2 linked regions of the Arabidopsis thaliana genome follow. The protein of the gene in region 2 purifies or fractionates together with the protein of the main gene of each other region. This does not show direct contact. Each region holds a gene or a part of one and is shown on either strand. Other genes may lie near its edges.

What was found. The genes of interacting proteins can lie anywhere in the genome.
Region 1: the proteins of ALB4 (region 2) and ATHSRP54A purify together in Arabidopsis thaliana (affinity purification with western blotting, with the first as the bait; one study listed by BioGRID). This does not show direct contact.

Annotation. Positions count from the first base shown.
Region 1 is NC_003070.9:5,270,085-5,273,838, forward strand, and holds the start of ATHSRP54A (signal recognition particle 54 kDa subunit), read right to left. Parts: upstream 1,975-3,754; 5' UTR 1,864-1,974; coding exon 1,633-1,863; intron 1,548-1,632; coding exon 1,448-1,547; intron 1,352-1,447; coding exon 1,198-1,351; intron 503-1,197; coding exon 352-502; intron 271-351; coding exon 122-270; intron 10-121; coding exon 1-9. Other genes in the region: AT1G15320 (seed dormancy control protein), read right to left, coding at 2,384-2,561, 2,723-3,251, 3,399-3,615. UniProt on the Arabidopsis thaliana protein: Component of the signal recognition particle (SRP) complex, a ribonucleoprotein complex that mediates the cotranslational targeting of secretory and membrane proteins to the endoplasmic reticulum (ER).
Region 2 is NC_003070.9:8,680,135-8,683,888, reverse strand, and holds the start of ALB4 (OxaA/YidC-like membrane insertion protein), read right to left. Parts: upstream 1,695-3,754; 5' UTR 1,526-1,694; coding exon 1,199-1,525; intron 1,117-1,198; coding exon 1,006-1,116; intron 924-1,005; coding exon 849-923; intron 606-848; coding exon 545-605; intron 460-544; coding exon 386-459; intron 297-385; coding exon 192-296; intron 3-191; coding exon 1-2. Other genes in the region: AT1G24485 (ER protein carbohydrate-binding protein), read right to left, coding at 1,995-2,289, 2,410-2,563, 2,826-2,885, 3,425-3,754. UniProt on the Arabidopsis thaliana protein: Required for the insertion of some light harvesting chlorophyll-binding proteins (LHCP) into the chloroplast thylakoid membrane. Plays a role in the accumulation of some cytochrome b6f components in the thylakoid membrane.

The DNA.
Region 1 (3,754 bases), 3.4 Mb from region 2:
GCTGCAACACTAACAACATGAAAATGGTTCAGGTTCACTTGTTCAACTACCAAAGCCTGCAATATTTTCATATTAACCATTTCGAGTACACATGAAGACTCAGTAGCTACAAGATACTTACGCGCTAAGAGCACCACCTCCCTTGGCATGGCCGTCCATCTTAGTAATAATTACAGCTCCAACAGATACAGTTTCCTTAAAAGCTTCAGCTTGTTCAAATGCAGCTTGACCAATACTGCTATCCATAACAAATATAACAAGATCTGGTTCCTGAACAGTGAAAATTACCATGATCAGAGCCTGCAACATCAACCATGAACAAAAAACAGACTTCAAGACAACAGAGCATACCGTTGCTTCAGCAACTTGACGCATTTCTTCAAAGAGAGAAGCTGCTTGTTTATGGCGACCACTGGTGTCAACAATAATAAGATCACACTTTTCTTTCTTGAACCTATCAACTCCCTCAACAGCAATTTTCACAGGATCGGATTCTGTGTAGCTGCAACGAATCACAAATTAGCATTTTTCCTGTCAGCATTAGCACATTATGCTATCACACTACGCTCGAGAGGATAGTTCTAATCCAGTATATCTTCTTTTTTTTTTCATTTCCCTCTGTTACTGTCATTGAAGTAAATCCAAAACTACAAATAGCGTAGTCGCAGTAATTGCAAATAGAAACAGAAGATAACACAAGACCTCAAAAAATCGATATATGCAAACTGTTGAGATCTTTGACGAACAAGTGAGACCCTTTGATAGAGTTTTCCAAGGTCCAAAACAAAAAACGCAAGAAAAAAACAGGCAAAAGGGCTTAAAGAAACTCTAAAGGGTAAGTGGCACACAGAGAACTGGATAAGTATGATGAAACCTACTGGATGATCGATAAAGAAACATAGTAGGTAACCATATTCCTTTTCATTGCAGATTTTTGCAGGCTACTGACCTAAAATAAACGTCGAGTCTAAACCAAACAATTTCATAAACTTTGTACATTGACCTCTACCAACCACAAAATACCATAGTTTTTACACAGATACTGCTGTATGTAAGCTAATATCCATTGGAAATGAAAAACACCAAAGGTCTTACGAGAAAGCAAGAAGAAAGATGAATACTAAGATATAAATCCTCATACAAAGTGGATAGACAAGAATAAGATCTCACAGCATGCAAAGGGGTTGATTTGAGTACCTTCCATAAAAGGGGATCTTAGCCTTGGTGGCATTCTGTTTCAGCTGATCAAAAGCACCGGCCCTGAAAGTATCCGCACACACTAGAGCTGCTTTGTACCCTTTCTTCTGATGATAGTAAGCATACTTGGTACATGTTGTGGTTTTTCCAGCACCTAAACATAGTCAAAAACTCAAATGTGATCTATCTACTCACCAAACTCAATCAAACACTGTGCAAAAAACAGTATAGCATCTTACAGAAACCTGACCTTGTAAACCGACGAACATCACTACACTAGGTTTGGCCTTTTTGGGGGCAAAGGCAGGCTTTCCTGGATCCAGCATCCTACAGAGTTCCTTGAAGATAGCCTGAAAGAGAATCATGATCAATTATACAGAATTAACCCCTCTGTTTTGGAAATTGATTAGGAATGAATCTGCGGTAAAACTAAACCTGCTCGATGATCAGGCGTTTGTTGTGGCCAGCTGCTAGATCGTCGAGGTTAACGATCTTCTTAATATTGGTCTGCATCTTTTCCACAAGGCCAAAAGAAACATCGGACTGGAGCAAAGCGCGAGTAATCTCGTTTAAGAAATCATTCAAAACCTTTTCATCGATTATTGTCACATTGTTCATCTGCTGTATGGCGCGGGTTATCCGGCCGCCGAGCTCCGCCAACACCATTTTTTTTTATCTGCTGTGCGATTCAACAAACATCAAGGAATTAGGGCTCAATTCTTTTTATCAAAGATCTTTTGTGGGAGATTGACATGATTCAGGCGGGAGAGAACATGTGGCATTAATCGGAGGTTACGAGTTGGAGCACGTCAACTTAAATGGACCTAAAGGTGTAAAACAGGCCCAATGGGTCACATGTTAATAGTTCTCTAACGTTTTTGGAAATATATGAAACTCTACATATTCTTTCATATACAACTGATGATGACCCAAATTTGCATGTTAAGTGTTAAGAAGAGCCTGAAAAACTTGTATACAAGAATTGGTTTTATCATTGTCAATATCTTTGTTATGACTTACAACGTACGTACAATAGCAATGAATCCAGAGGACGGTGATAGCTAAACATGTACATCCTAAACATGTATGGGTTGATGAAGAGGCATTAGTTCCAAGCAGGCAGATCCCACATCACAGCATTTAGTTTTACTATGAAACTGGGACTTGCTTTGCTTCTACAAAGCTCTCAACTAGATGATCCTGATCCCTTCAGAGGTGAAGGAACTGCTGGGTAAATCTTTCTTAGCTTCTTCTGCTCTCCAAACTGGTGTATGGCGTCTTGAATCCCTGCAAATGCGACCACAAACTCGGCTGTATCCGTTTGATTCAGCAGCTTCTTCATCACCAGCTCCAACACTTTATACCTGCCAATCATAACAACTTTCTCTCATAATGCTGATCAAAGCTTTCACTTCACTCAACAAAACTAAGACATCATTAACCACACACACTATCTGGTGTCAGCTATTTGTTTCTGTTCATTCTCAACAATTCTCTTTTATTTATGATGGGGAGGAAAGCAAACCTGAGTCGTTGTGCCTTTGAGATGACTTTATGTATGTTCCCAAACAGCTCCTGCACAGAACGCAGAGCTTCTTCATGCAACCGAGTATTGCAGAGCGGGGAAAAAGGGAGGTACAAGACACCGGTGGCCTGAATTTCTGCATATTCCTCATCAATAACGGCCTCTTCGATGCGTATCTCACGTAAAAGCTGAGAGAGCACGCGTAAACTCGACTCAGACAGAGAGAAGGAGGGGTTTTGAGCTGCCAGAATGCGGACAAGGTCAAGAATGGAGGTGGGACGCCAGTCTCCAAGCCAGGCCACAGCAGCTAGCTCATGAGGTGGTATCCACGTGGGTAAGACGAGGTTAGAGACATCCTTTAAGAAAGTTGAAACCATGGAATTGTCGTAATGGGACTGGTATCTGCTCAGCTGTTCTTCAATCAGTTCATCGAGTTCCCACCTGGATTTTAGCTCTTTGTCTAGCCTTGCCGCAATGCTGTTCTGTTCTTGCCTCCACAGTTCGTACAAGTCTCCAGAAAGTTCGTCACCTGATCAATCACAGATATTATGCTTTGTAACATCACTCACATCATCAAGATGACAAAACAGATAACATTGCCATAGATTAAGCAAAAGTTTCACCATCTACAATAACTCGAAAACATTACTTTAAGAAATAATCTTTTTGCAGATACCTTTTGTAAAAGATTCGTGTTGGTGAGATCTCTCAGCATGAGATCTTTTAGATGATATATTACTAGCAGCTTCTCTCTCCAGATCATCCCAGGAAAGTTCTTCCCCATTGTTTGGTTCTTCAAATCCATTCTCTTCACTACGTTGCAGGAAGACAAACCCAATTAACCATAAGAAAACTAAGCTGATTTTCACAAGAACCAACTCTTGTAATCTCATTGCACACTCAAATCCTAAAATGCATCCCTATCCATTATGAAAATCATCAAAAAGAGGTAATGTTTTGCATCAATTCACATCCGCAATCTCAGAAAGAAACCGAACTACTAATCAAGCGTAACTGAGGAAGGATTAATCC
Region 2 (3,754 bases):
TCCTGAGAAATAAAATGGAAATTTGTAGACATCAGCGATGAGGTCCGACACCACTCCCCTCAAGTTTTCTTCAATAATTCATTTTAATCAGTTTTATATGCTTGAACAATTAAACTGAATAAGAGTTCGTAAGAACTATGAGTCTAGTCTAGATTCCATTTTCGAAATATCAAGTTTCAAATGATACTTACAATGAAAGGGAACAGCCATGAGATTCCACTGCCATTCTGTCTTGCAGCAACAGTCGTTGGACCAGCAAGAGAAGGTATCCAGAAAAAACCTTCCGTTAAGAGCCCCTAAAGTTAGAAACAAGCATCCAACTACTTGTCAAAAAAGAATCTCAAGGCACTTACAGATACAAAAGGATATAGTTATTTCCAGGTACCTCATCTGCAACATTTGAGAGGGCTCTATATAGCCCAATCCAGACAGGTATCGTGGCTAGTGTGGGGAGGCAGCCTAACAGATAAATGAAAATATAGCTTAACCATAAATGTTGTCTCAAATGGAAAAACATACGATAAGCTGAAGTAACATACTGTACCTGCAAGGGGATTTATTCCAGCAAGCTTATACAATCTAGCAGTTTCAAGCTGAATTTTCTCCTGCAAAGATAAACAAAAATAAAGAAGCTATTTGTTTAAACAAGAGGGCTATATTCATACATAGTAAAGCTATAATATTTGTTATATTCATTAGTATCCCTCCACAATTGTGGAACCAATAGCAACACACATGTTCTTACTTTTTCCTTAACTCCATCAACTAAGAATTGATGCAAACATAACTTAGTATAGCATCAGGACAAATAAAACCCATGTGTACAGTATAGAAGAATTGTTTTTCACCTGATCACCAGCATACCGTTCCTGAATAGCCTTTATTTGAGGCGTCAAAGATTTCATAGCCATGGCAGATTCAACCTGTAGAGAATAAACCACCAATTCAATAACATGGACTAAAAATGATATCATGGCTTAGCAGCAATAGAAACAAACTAAAAACCTGTTTTTTCGTCAATGGGAACGTAGCAGCCTTAACAAGCACAGTCAATAGAATGATAGCGAAACCATAGGAATAAGGAACATGTACAGTTGATAACCCATCTTTCAAAACCTGCAATCCAATTCAAAATCAATCATATAGCTACACAAAAATTCATTTCTTTCTAAACCAAAAAAGACAAAACTTTTAATACCTTGAGAATAGTTTCCATGTAATTAGCAATACCAGAGAACCAATCATTGCTCTGGGTCGTTTTGGTAGTAGTGCCGGCGACAGATTCAAAGGTTTCAGAGGACGAAACGGCGGCATCAGCGATCGTGTACAGCAGATTCTCGGCATGGTCCTTGATGAAATCAAAAGAATCTGGTCTGAACCCGAGTTGAGCTACGAGAGTCCGATAACGAGACGACGACGACGACGGTGTGTGGCTGAAACGGGAGCGGCGGAATTGGAGGACTTTGCCTGTGGAGAAAGAGGAGAGGATAAGGTGCGTCGGCTTTAGGGATATTGTTGAAGACATCTCTAGGGAGAAGAAGGAAGGAGAGTTTTAGGGTTTTGGTTGAGAAGACAAAATGGGGAAGATTTGGATTTTGTTGGCAGTATTGTTGTGTTGTTGTGTTCTTGCTTTGCGTCTCAGTGTGCGAGACCGACCGAACTGAGAAGTGGAGCAAACCAAATTTTGTTTTTCTGATTTTTTAAAACTAACAACACAAACTATATATCTCACCTTTTTTATTGACTTTTTCTAGGGTAAATATAACAACATAAACTATGGCTCCGAATGGTGACTGTGTTTTGCGATGCGGGAAAAGTGCAGTGCGGTTCAAATAATAACAAAAATACATAAATACATATATATATGTAAAAATTTTGATATTGTTACAACACTGTTACGATACGGTTTTGGATACGGTTTTAGTCACCATTCACAACCTATAAATCACTCGTTAACAACTATAACCAATTAAATTCTACAACGAAAAGTAACACTAATATCTATACCCGAACTTTGGTGGAGAAAACCATAGAGATAAACATTTCATGATTGTTAGTGATTTTTGTTTAAGTATAAAAATATGTGAAACATACGATGAAAAGACTGAAATAGTATAAATTACATCTAACAACCAATAAATCAGGAGAAAAAAAGAATAACATATATTGGAGGGTGATGAGTGATGATGGATCCGCATGTAGTAGATGTAAGTCGTCGTCATTGCCCAGCATTCACTACTGTTGCGTTTCCCATATTCACTTGTAAACTTATATTCTGTTTGAGTGGCACTGCAACCATAAATAAATATTTATATACATTAGTTAATTCAAATAAAAATTATAGTAGAAATTCAAATTAATAAGATTTATTGCAATAAGTTTATAAAAATAAAAATAAAAGGAGAATACGAACATTCTGATTCCGGGTGGCGCCTAGGTTTGATGAAATATTTCCAGACGCCCCAACCACCAGCTCCAAGACTTAACAAAGTCGGTAATGAAATTCCAAGAGGTAAAGCTAAGTTGCTGCTGCTTTTCTCCTCTCCTGATTTACCTGAAGAATCTTCATACACAAACACAAACGTACCACATATTAGACTCGAACCAACGATCTCATATCATTTGATAACAATAATAACATGATTATTAACATCCAAAGCTTCATAAATGTTTTTTTTTTATATATAAATGATATTGTTATACGACAAAAACTTTGAAAATAATCTCTAGAAATTGTCCCAAACTATATTAAGTGACTATTCTTCTAAAAGTCCTAATATGGAAAAAAACATCTTAATTAAAAAAAATATTGAGAACTGATATGCCTGCAGATTTTTCATCTTCACTAGCTTTGTTGGTTCCTCCATCTCCATTATTGCTTCCTCCTAAAATATCGTTCAAACGAAGAAAAGTGACTTATAATTTTAGTTTTCAGTTTAAGTCAATTTTCTTACGGAGCTAGTAATTTGGAGAGCATGTTTTTGACCAATCTATCTAGAAAAATGACGGCTCAAAGTCGGACTAAACCGCCTCCTAGTCGGCTATGTTTTACAATGAAAGTTTTTGGTTAAACACTTCCCATTCTTCTAACCTTTAAGCCTAGTTATGATCTTGCATGTTGATAAAAGGCAGTTGATCGTCAATAACTAGAAGCTAAATCTTGCATCCTAATTAATATACCCACACGAGTTCCTCCCTTTCAATTCAGTATCCATATATTTTAAAGAACCACTAGAGTAGAGTTACTTATATATATAGATTTATATATTAATATATAGATTGATATCTTTTCTACAAAACAAACCGTTTTCTTATTATTGTCAGAATTAGTAGCCTCTTCTATTCATTATTTATCTCAAACCAAAATTATTAAAATTAACCGTATTTTACAACATATATATAAGATAATGAAAAGAATAATTACCGGATTTGCCTCCACCACCGCCCTTGCTTGGGCTGCCACCACCACCGCCTGTGCTAGGGGGGCTGCCACTACCACCGCCAGTGCTAGGGGGGCTGCCACTACCACCACCAGGACTAGGGCTGCCACCACCGCTCGTGCTTGTTGAATTCGTCCCGTTTCCACTTCCACCACTATTACTAATGACATAGAGCTCGAGAGCGTTGATGAGTGGGTCCAAAGTCGAGTCTGGTGTAGCTTCAAAAGTCAGATAGGCAAGCTCAGTCTTCACCACATCCCTCAAAGAAGCTTGAGTCACTGCCCCGAAAGGTGGCACAATTAGATCTGAACCCA